2 linked regions of the Danio rerio genome follow. The protein of the gene in region 1 purifies or fractionates together with the protein of each later gene. This does not show direct contact. Links are inferred from orthologs where the notes say so. Each region holds a gene or a part of one and is shown on either strand. Other genes may lie near its edges. The genes, in order: dnmt1 and daxx.

Region 1 (4,453 bases):
TGAAAATAAATTTAGGGTGGTCAATCGATATGAGCTGACAAAAGTTTAGAAAGCTTTACAACACTTTTTGTTTACATCTGTTTTATAGATTTTTATAAAATGTAAAAAAAAATAATTAAATGCTTTGACACGAGGAGAAGCTTTATCAAATCTACATTTGTGAATAGAAAATTTTGCTACAATCAACATATAATTGCACAAAAATTTAATTTCTTTGTTTTTCATAAAAATATCAAATTTCACAATGTGATAGCCAAAAACAGGTATTACATTTTTTTTGTTATCGACCCCCTATATAATCTGTCCCAAAAGGATTTTAAAATAGTACAACTGTATATATATATATATATATATATATATATATATATATATATATACACATACATACATACATACATACATACATACATATATATATATATATATATATATATATATATATATATATATATATATATATATATATATATATATATATATATATATATACACACACACACACACACACACACACACACTTTCAAGCGGAAAATGCAAGCATTACTGTCTAGAATTCTAGAAAACTCATTACATGGATAAATGCCATTAATTGTTTTGAAGTGTTCTTCTTTCATTTTAGGTAACAAGGGAAGTGACAGGTATCTATTTCTTACTTCAATAGTGTCCGCCTTAGAAAATCTCTTTTCTTTTTACAGGAATAGGGAAATATTCTATTATAATATTCTATAATTGTAAGTAGAACTGAAACTTAACTAGCTAGCCAGCTAATCTGGCTTCATGGTACAGGCCCCTGTTTGGCCTAAAGAAAGATATGGGTGGTGACAGAAAAGGTGTGACTAGTCTAAAATAAAAATTTCGTTTAAGTCATATAAAGCATTCAAAGTAGACCATTAGGATATTTTTTCTATTTGACATGCCTGTTTACTGCATTTATTTATCATTCGTTGTTGTTGTTTAAGTGTCTCTATTGCATAAATAAATGTATTAACTTATTTTGAACTATGTCACAGTTTTGTTGTCGCAGACTCGCAGGAGGAGCTAAATATTTCAACAGGAAGCGTTAATGAATTCATATCTTTTATTTTTCTTTCTCTTTTCGAAGTTATCTTTCAGTTAACAACGTTAATTGTTGATCTTTTGTTAATTGTATACATGTCAACACTACTTTATGTGCTTTAAAAAAATAAAAAAAAGGAGGTAATGAAATTCATGGGCAAATATGCACCCCTGAGGCAAAGCAAATGTGGTACATCCCGTAATGGTTGAATCTCCTAAGGGGTGAACATGAAAATAAACCTTGAAATGAGCTTAATATTTGTTATTCCTTTACCCTTAACGTATACATTTAATAAACCGAATTAGACCCAGATACACTCACAACACTCTCACTGATTTATTTTAAAACGAAACACAAACGCACAACTTCTTTGACACCGTCCATCCCCGTGCTTTAAATGAATGGTAGCGTCCGACTCACCCGCGTTTCCGCGCGAAAAGGCGGCCCGCGCGTATTTCTCAGCTGCTAGCGACAATTCATAAAGCCCGTTGAGCCTCTCCAGCGCGCGCTGCAGTTGGCACTGTCACATATTAATACCCGCTTTTATCTGTTGTTGTTTTAAATCGTGTTTTTAAGTAGTCAATTCCTTTGATCAAAATCGAACTTGAAATGCCTACCAAGACCTCATTGTCTCTGCCAGAGGATGTCAAAGAACGGTATGGTGCTGTATTTGCTTTTAATGCCACTGTGATGGTCGTTTGCTCATTCGCGGGCTTTACACGCTTCGCGCTGCAGACTGATCACGTCACAAAACGGCAGTTCGGTTGTTTATGTGTGCCATTTTTAAGCGAAAAGAGATGCTGTGTTTTTATTATTGTTAGCATTTAGCCAGGCTACGAACGTTCTGCCCGCCACCAGCTCGCGTTTCGTGGGTAAAACAGGCGATTGTTTTGATGCGAACAGCCTCGCAGGTGTCAGTATGACTGCATTTGGCGCCAAATACACATGTGTCCTAGTGAAGCCCTGCCCGCCTCCTGTCTCCCTCTGCTCAATCACTGCACGAGTCATTACAGTTATACCCACGAAATACTAATGAATTCTGTGTACTTTCTTAAAGACACGATTATCTGAAGTGGTTTTCGTGAATCTGGTCTGTCCATGCGTGTTTGTTTACTCGCGTTGTCCAACAATGTGTTGAGATGAATGCGTCCAGTTCAATAAATTTTGGATTTATCAACGTTTATTAAATGTTATTTATACTTGAAGTGGTGATTGTGCAATGCTAATTGGATGTTTGTTTATTTTTCTAGGCTTCAGGTGTTGGATGAAGGTGGAGACAGTTTGTCAGATGAGGTAAACATTTACGTTACTGCGTATGAGTTCAAATGAAATTAGGTGGTTACTTATTGCATGTCCACACTAACACAAAATAACACAATCCCTTTCATTCAGAATGTACAGTTTAACCGTGTAGTTGTTGTGCATCTGGCAAAAGGCTTTCTTAAACTGTTGGCCTTTTAAACTGTATAAACAGTTTTGTAAAGAGGCTTTTGATATACAGTTTACAACATGAATCATTAATAAGAGTTTCAGTTTGTATACTTGTGCTCTTTTTCAAGGCTATTTTGTTCAAGTAGTAAGACTAATGCCTTCACTGAAAGTTCTGAGAGTGCTTTTTTTTTTTTAATTGCCTCACCAAGATTTTTTTTTTTATTGCATTTCTTATCTCCCAATGTCGCTAGTAGACAAACACAGTCCTATCTTTCAACACATCCCATAATTTCGAAAACATCAACCTCTACCAAATGGTTAATGTCAGTTTATGGTAAAACTATCGGAATAATTACATGAAATACTATTTAAAAAAAATAATTAGAAAACATGGTGCAAGACCATTTTATTTAAAAACAGTCAAAATAAAACTTTGAATACTAAATTACTTTTTAGAAGGATGCCATAAACTATTTCAGATTCTCATTTAATGTGTTTTTAGTTGTTGTTGTTGTTGTTGTTGTTTTTTTTTTCTACAATAAAATAGTGTATTATTGCAACAGGATTGATTATTTTGTTTTGTAAACCAGCAATGCTGTGCGTAAACCATTATTTTATTATTTAAAACAATTCTTTAAATAACTTTAACAGTCATTATTTAAAACAAATATGTCAAAATATGGTCAACCATTTGGTAAAGCAGGCAGTTAAAGAGTTAACAAGAGGAAATATTCACTTTGAAGACATAAAATGCATAATAAAATGGTGCCATTTGTACGTCACACATTTTACTAGCACCTTAGTTAAGGATGCAAGTAGGCCATTTTGTTACCCAAAATGTGACATGTGAAAACTGCAGCTCTCTCATTGGCTGGAGAGAATCATCAGTACTTGCGTCATTGGATTTGCTGTGTGAAATAACAAACCAGTTGAATCAGCAACAGCCACTGCCAGATTATTTCAATGAACCGTTACGCAACTTAAAATCGCTATATCATGATCAGCAGACTTTTAACGTGAAAACGCCTTTTAGTAACCTATGAAAACTCACCACATCCTGAATAACTTACCCCGTTTGTCATATTTACAGGAAAGCCTAAATGCTTTCATACATGTAGATTAATCCTAAAGTTTTAACGATTGCTGAAGGAAACGCCTTTTGCCTCATTCAAATCAAGGAAAAATTAATCATGCGTGTTGTGAACTGTACATCGGAGTGTTTGATCTACCCAGGTGAGATCACATGCGAGAGGTGAGAAAGAAAAACTTAAGACCCTTAAAGTAATAGTTAACCCAAAAAAAGTATCAACACATGACTTGCTCCCCCTCACACCATCCTCAGTGTACAGATTTTTGGATAAAAACCTTTCAAATTTGTACCAAAACTGTTGTCCTGATAACCACTCTTGTCTTGGGACAATTTCTTATTTTTTTAACAACTTCAAGTGTTGGTGACAATGCACATTATGCATGACTGTCAGAGTCGTATGCAGAATGTATGGCTTAAGGAGTGAGTAAATGATGGAGTGATTTACATTTTTTGGGTGAAATATTTCTTTAACATATTTGTTGGTTTGCATGAGCCCAAAATACATTTGAAGTAGGGTCCAGAAGGAATTAAACACTCCTATAAACTAATAGAGGTGTTGCAACTGTCCATAACCCACTCTCTCTGAAGAAGTGCTCGGGTTTTTCCACGGGTCAGGGAGTAGTGTTGTTATGCTCTGAAACCATGTGCCTCTATTGGAAATTGTGCATGTAAAAGATGGCATATGTGAATGGCCCTTAGTTAAAATCCTCCTCAGCCATGGTGAAAATTAGCCTTTGATCCAGTATGCGTGCGTTTTGTGTACAAGCTTGAACTTTAAACTAGCGCACTGTTAGTATAATTTTTAGTTGCAGCAGTTTTGTTCCATGGAGAAACTCTGTGTTGAGAAGCATTTACGATTAATTAACAGTGACGAA
Region 2 (4,443 bases), on another chromosome or scaffold:
AAAACATGCCTCCAAAACATTTATTCATCCATTTTCCTTCGGTTTAGTCCTTTTATTCATCAGGGGTCGCCACAGTGGAATGAACCAGGAACTTATCTAGCATATGTTTTACACAGGGGATGCCCTTCTAGATGCAACCCAGTACTGGGAACCACCCATACACTTATTCACACACATACACTACAGCCAATTTAGTTTATTCAATTCACCTATAGCGAATGTCTTTGGACTATGTGAGAAACTGGAGCATGTTATCTTTGGAAATGTCAACTGACCCAGCTGGCACTCAACCTTCTTGCTGTGAGGCGACAGTGCTAAGCACTAGTGGTGTAAAGTAACTAACTACAAATACTCAAATTATTGTATTTGAGTATTTTTTCTCAGGAATTGTAATTTACTAAGTAGTTTTATAAATGTGTACTTTCACTTTCCCTTGAGTACATGTTTAGTGCTTTATCTGTACGTTTACGCCACCACTTTCCTTCAACCTGCAGTTACTACTTTATTTTTTCTTTGTCTTGTCTTTTATTGTCAAATTGCATATAGGAGGTACTTTTTACTCATACTTTAAGTAATATTTACAACAGCTATACTTTTACTCTACTTGCTCTACATTTTTAGGCAAGTAATGGTACTTTTACTTATGATTTTTCAGTACTCTTTCCACCACTCTGTGGTCACTGTGTCACCCTTGGGATTTTGTATTTTTATTTAATTTTGAAATGTATTTTAAATACATTTTTAAAAGGTTAATCTGTTGATTGTGCTTTTTATGATATGCTATTAAGGCCTACTTTATATAAAATAAATCTTTGAAAAACATTGCTCTATAAATTGATTAATTATTTCTAATTAATAATCAACTCATTATTAACCCTTTGATGCACTAAATGGGTCTAAAGTGACCTGTCTCTGCTTATTTTTTCTATATCTATTTTATAGCTTGTGCATCAAAGGGTTAATACAGTTAACAATTAATAATTCAGCTTATTTATTTAATTTGTTATTTTATTTAATTTTCTTCAAAATGTAGGCCTCTGGTCTGGTGTTTGGAAAAATAATAGAGATTTTTATTGCCTGTTTTCTTTATTTTCTTTTACTCTCAGGTAGCCAGCACATAATAATTGTAGAATTCAACCCTCACACTACTAGTGGCTCCCTGATAAGTATCAGTTTTGTTTCTGGAGAAGCAAAACACTAGATGAGCACCTGCTAGCGCTAAGAAATTAAATTTGCTTCATTACCACATCATGTTATTGTTATCTGAAGAACTGTACAATCAGTTTATTCTAGAGTCTCCAGTTCCCTACGAGGCGCTGATACGCATCTAAATGATTAGCGTAGCAAACAGATCGCAGAAGAAAAGCAAAGCATTCACCCAATCAGCGATCAGTATACTGACCGTCAGCGAACCAGCGCGCCGCATGTTGAGCTGTACAAAGATCCAGCGCCGAGTTTCAGGATCCGAGCGCGTAAGTTCGTGTTTTTTGTCTATTATTGATCGACTTCGAATAAGACTTTATTTTAAACATAATCACGAAGCGTTTGCGAAGGTTGTGAGGAAACTGACAAATATGAAATTACACCTTAGCTATCGTCGTTTTAATGCTTTTAACAAATAAACGGAAGGAGTCTGTATGGCATGTCCGAATTAAAGAGCTACAGTCTTCAAACCAAAAGGCAAAATAACTGAAATTATTACATTTATATTTATGTTAAGTGTAAACAGTGTGAAAATCTCATTGACACATCCAGTTAAATCTGGTTGATATGGTATTAAGTCAGTCAAAAGACATCATAAACATAGTTACCGCTCAAATTCACTCGTATTGTTATTGTGTTATAGGAGACGGATGTGGAGGCATATTATTGGATATAGATACATGTTATACGTCTTGTGTGGTTTTGTTTAATGTCTGATAATTCTTTTTATCAAGATGGTGACGAATCATAAGTACTAGTTAACCGAGTTTGTTGTGTGTGAATCATCATAGTTGTGTCACATTATCACATGATCGAAAGCTAGCAATATGAAGTAGCATTTGGCTACGATTTTAAGATTCCTGTCTTTAAAATTCTGGTTAGATATTTAATTATAGTATTTCGTTTAACTATGTAATGTTTTCTCTTCAATTCAGAAAAATAGGGACATTTTAAACGTGGCTTAGTATATCAGAACAACAACAACAACCAGAGAAACCCACATATCTGTCATAATTTACGTCAAATAAACTCTATTCCATAGATAAAGTGAACAGAGTGAATAATTTCACATTAAGTGTTTTCTCCCCTATTTAAGTCTGTTATGAGAAAAAAAGCCTAACTGCTTATTGTTAAGGAACATTAAGCCGTGTTAAGCTTATCTTATTCCTTACTTGGATTTCAATGGGGAGAAAACACTTAATGTGATATTGTTCACTTCATCTATGGAATTAGAGCTTGTTCATTTTACAGTAATTAATGTTAATTACAAATTTGACAGAAATTATATACAGTTTAAGTCAGAATTATTAGCCCCCCTAAATTATTAGTCCTCTGTTTATTTTTTTCCTCCAATTTCTGTTTAACAGAGAGCAGGTTTTTTCAACACATTTCTAATCATAATAGTTTTAATAACACATTTCTAATAACTGATTTATTTTATCTTTGCCATGATGACAGTAAATATTATTTGACTAGATAACTGCTTTTATGCTAGCCGAAATAAAACAAATAAGACTTTCTCCTGAAGAAAAAGTATTATCTGGCATACTGTGAAAATTTCCTTGCTCTGTTAAACATAATTTGGGAAATATATTAAAAAAAAAAAAAAAAAAAAAATATATATATATATATATATATATATATATATATATATATATATATATATATATATATATCAAAGGGGGGCTAATTATTCTGACCTCAGCTGTAGATGAAGTTTTTCTATTTCCACATTTGGACTTTCTCCTTAATATAATCTCATAAAAGTATTTGCAAATTCTAAATGGAGAAATTATATTAGCAGCCGATGACTATCAATGTAGAACATTGTTCACAGTCAATAAAATGGTGCTTATGTTGTTTTGAAGTCATACGTAAATGCAATTTCAGACCTAATATTAAAAGTAGTGTGGTAAACAATTTAGAGATCGTTAAATGAATGAATGTGCAAATATATCACCAGCTTTACCTCAATTTAAATAATGGTTACACACACGGCATTGTTGGTTTACAAAAAAAAATTAAGCAAATATAATCCTGTTGCACGTCTACATTTGATTTTGGTTTTATTGTAAAGCAAACTCAACCAGAAATCGTATTAAAGTAGAATCTGAGGTAATTTATGACATACTTCAAAAAGTAAAGATGATTTAGTGTTCAAAAATGTTTTATTTTGAATTTTTTATTTATTTTTTAATACATTGGTCTTATACAGTTCATGTTTTCAGATTTTTCATATTACAGTATATGTATTTATTCCAGGTACGTTTACTGTAAATAAACCAACATATTAACCATTTGGTAGAGGTTGATATTTTAGAAATTATGGGATGTGTTGACAAAAATTCATTAAACGTGTTAACTATCGACATTGGGAGTTAAGAAATGGAATTCCAAAACTATTCTTGGTTGGGGAGTTAAAGGGTTATGCGTTTAAGCGTTTGTCCCAAAAATGACATTGTTGATATTATTGTTTTCCAGGTAAATGCTGATTTTGAAACACCAGTTTGGATTTTGACTGTCTTGATCAATTCAATGCTCAGTGCTCAAGTATGTACAGACAAGCAGAATACATAAATATTAAATATTTAAAACGCATACCTATTGTGTTGATGTCATGATAGATAAACCATGCTCTTGGATATGCTGTTCTGTAAAATACACCCAAAAATATCACCTTGTCCCTTGTACATTTCTTACATCCTGCTAGTTTCAGTTTCACTTAAAAATTGATTTGACATTTAAATGTTGTTCATATTAAGGCCATATAACTCCTTTTCATTTTAACCTTTACATTCCTTTTTCATTGGAGTAAAGTGAAACTGTTACAAACTTTTGATTACTGAAAGCTTATTTGGCCATCAAAACTGAATATTTTTTTTTAAAGGAAAAAAAACATTGCCCAGAAATCCCCTATTTTATAACTCAAAATGTCTTTTTTCCCATTTTAATTTAAAAACGTTTTCAGTTTTAATGGTTGAATTACATTTTAGTAATTAAAAAGATACATTTCGATGAACAGGACAAGCTTTTTGCTGTTACAAATATATATTAATACAATTATATTATACAATTTCATATTTAGGTAATCTGAAATATTCTTCATTTTTAAAAATCATTTTAAGATTAAAACATGAATAAAATGTTGTGTAATTATTTTTATTTTTATATATAGTTATGATTAGGGCTGAAGAATATATTGTTTCAGCATCAGTATTGCAATGTATGAATCTGCAATAG

The links.
Region 2: the proteins of dnmt1 (region 1) and daxx purify together in Homo sapiens (affinity purification with western blotting; 4 studies listed by BioGRID, with this or other methods). This does not show direct contact. The link is inferred for Danio rerio from reciprocal best matches to the Homo sapiens genes DNMT1 and DAXX.

The regions. Positions count from the first base shown.
Region 1 is NC_133178.1:57,150,450-57,154,902, reverse strand, and holds the start of dnmt1 (DNA (cytosine-5)-methyltransferase 1), read left to right. Parts: upstream 1-1,519; 5' UTR 1,520-1,666; coding exon 1,667-1,713; intron 1,714-2,307; coding exon 2,308-2,350; intron 2,351-4,453. UniProt on the Homo sapiens protein: Methylates CpG residues. Preferentially methylates hemimethylated DNA. Associates with DNA replication sites in S phase maintaining the methylation pattern in the newly synthesized strand, that is essential for epigenetic inheritance.
Region 2 is NC_133194.1:8,084,638-8,089,080, reverse strand, and holds the start of daxx (death domain-associated protein 6), read left to right. Parts: upstream 1-1,422; 5' UTR 1,423-1,424; coding exon of another isoform or gene 1,425-1,472; 5' UTR 1,473-1,488; exon of another isoform or gene 1,489-1,605; coding exon of another isoform or gene 1,606-1,680; intron 1,681-3,684; coding exon of another isoform or gene 3,685-3,753; intron 3,754-4,443. UniProt on the Homo sapiens protein: Transcription corepressor known to repress transcriptional potential of several sumoylated transcription factors. Down-regulates basal and activated transcription.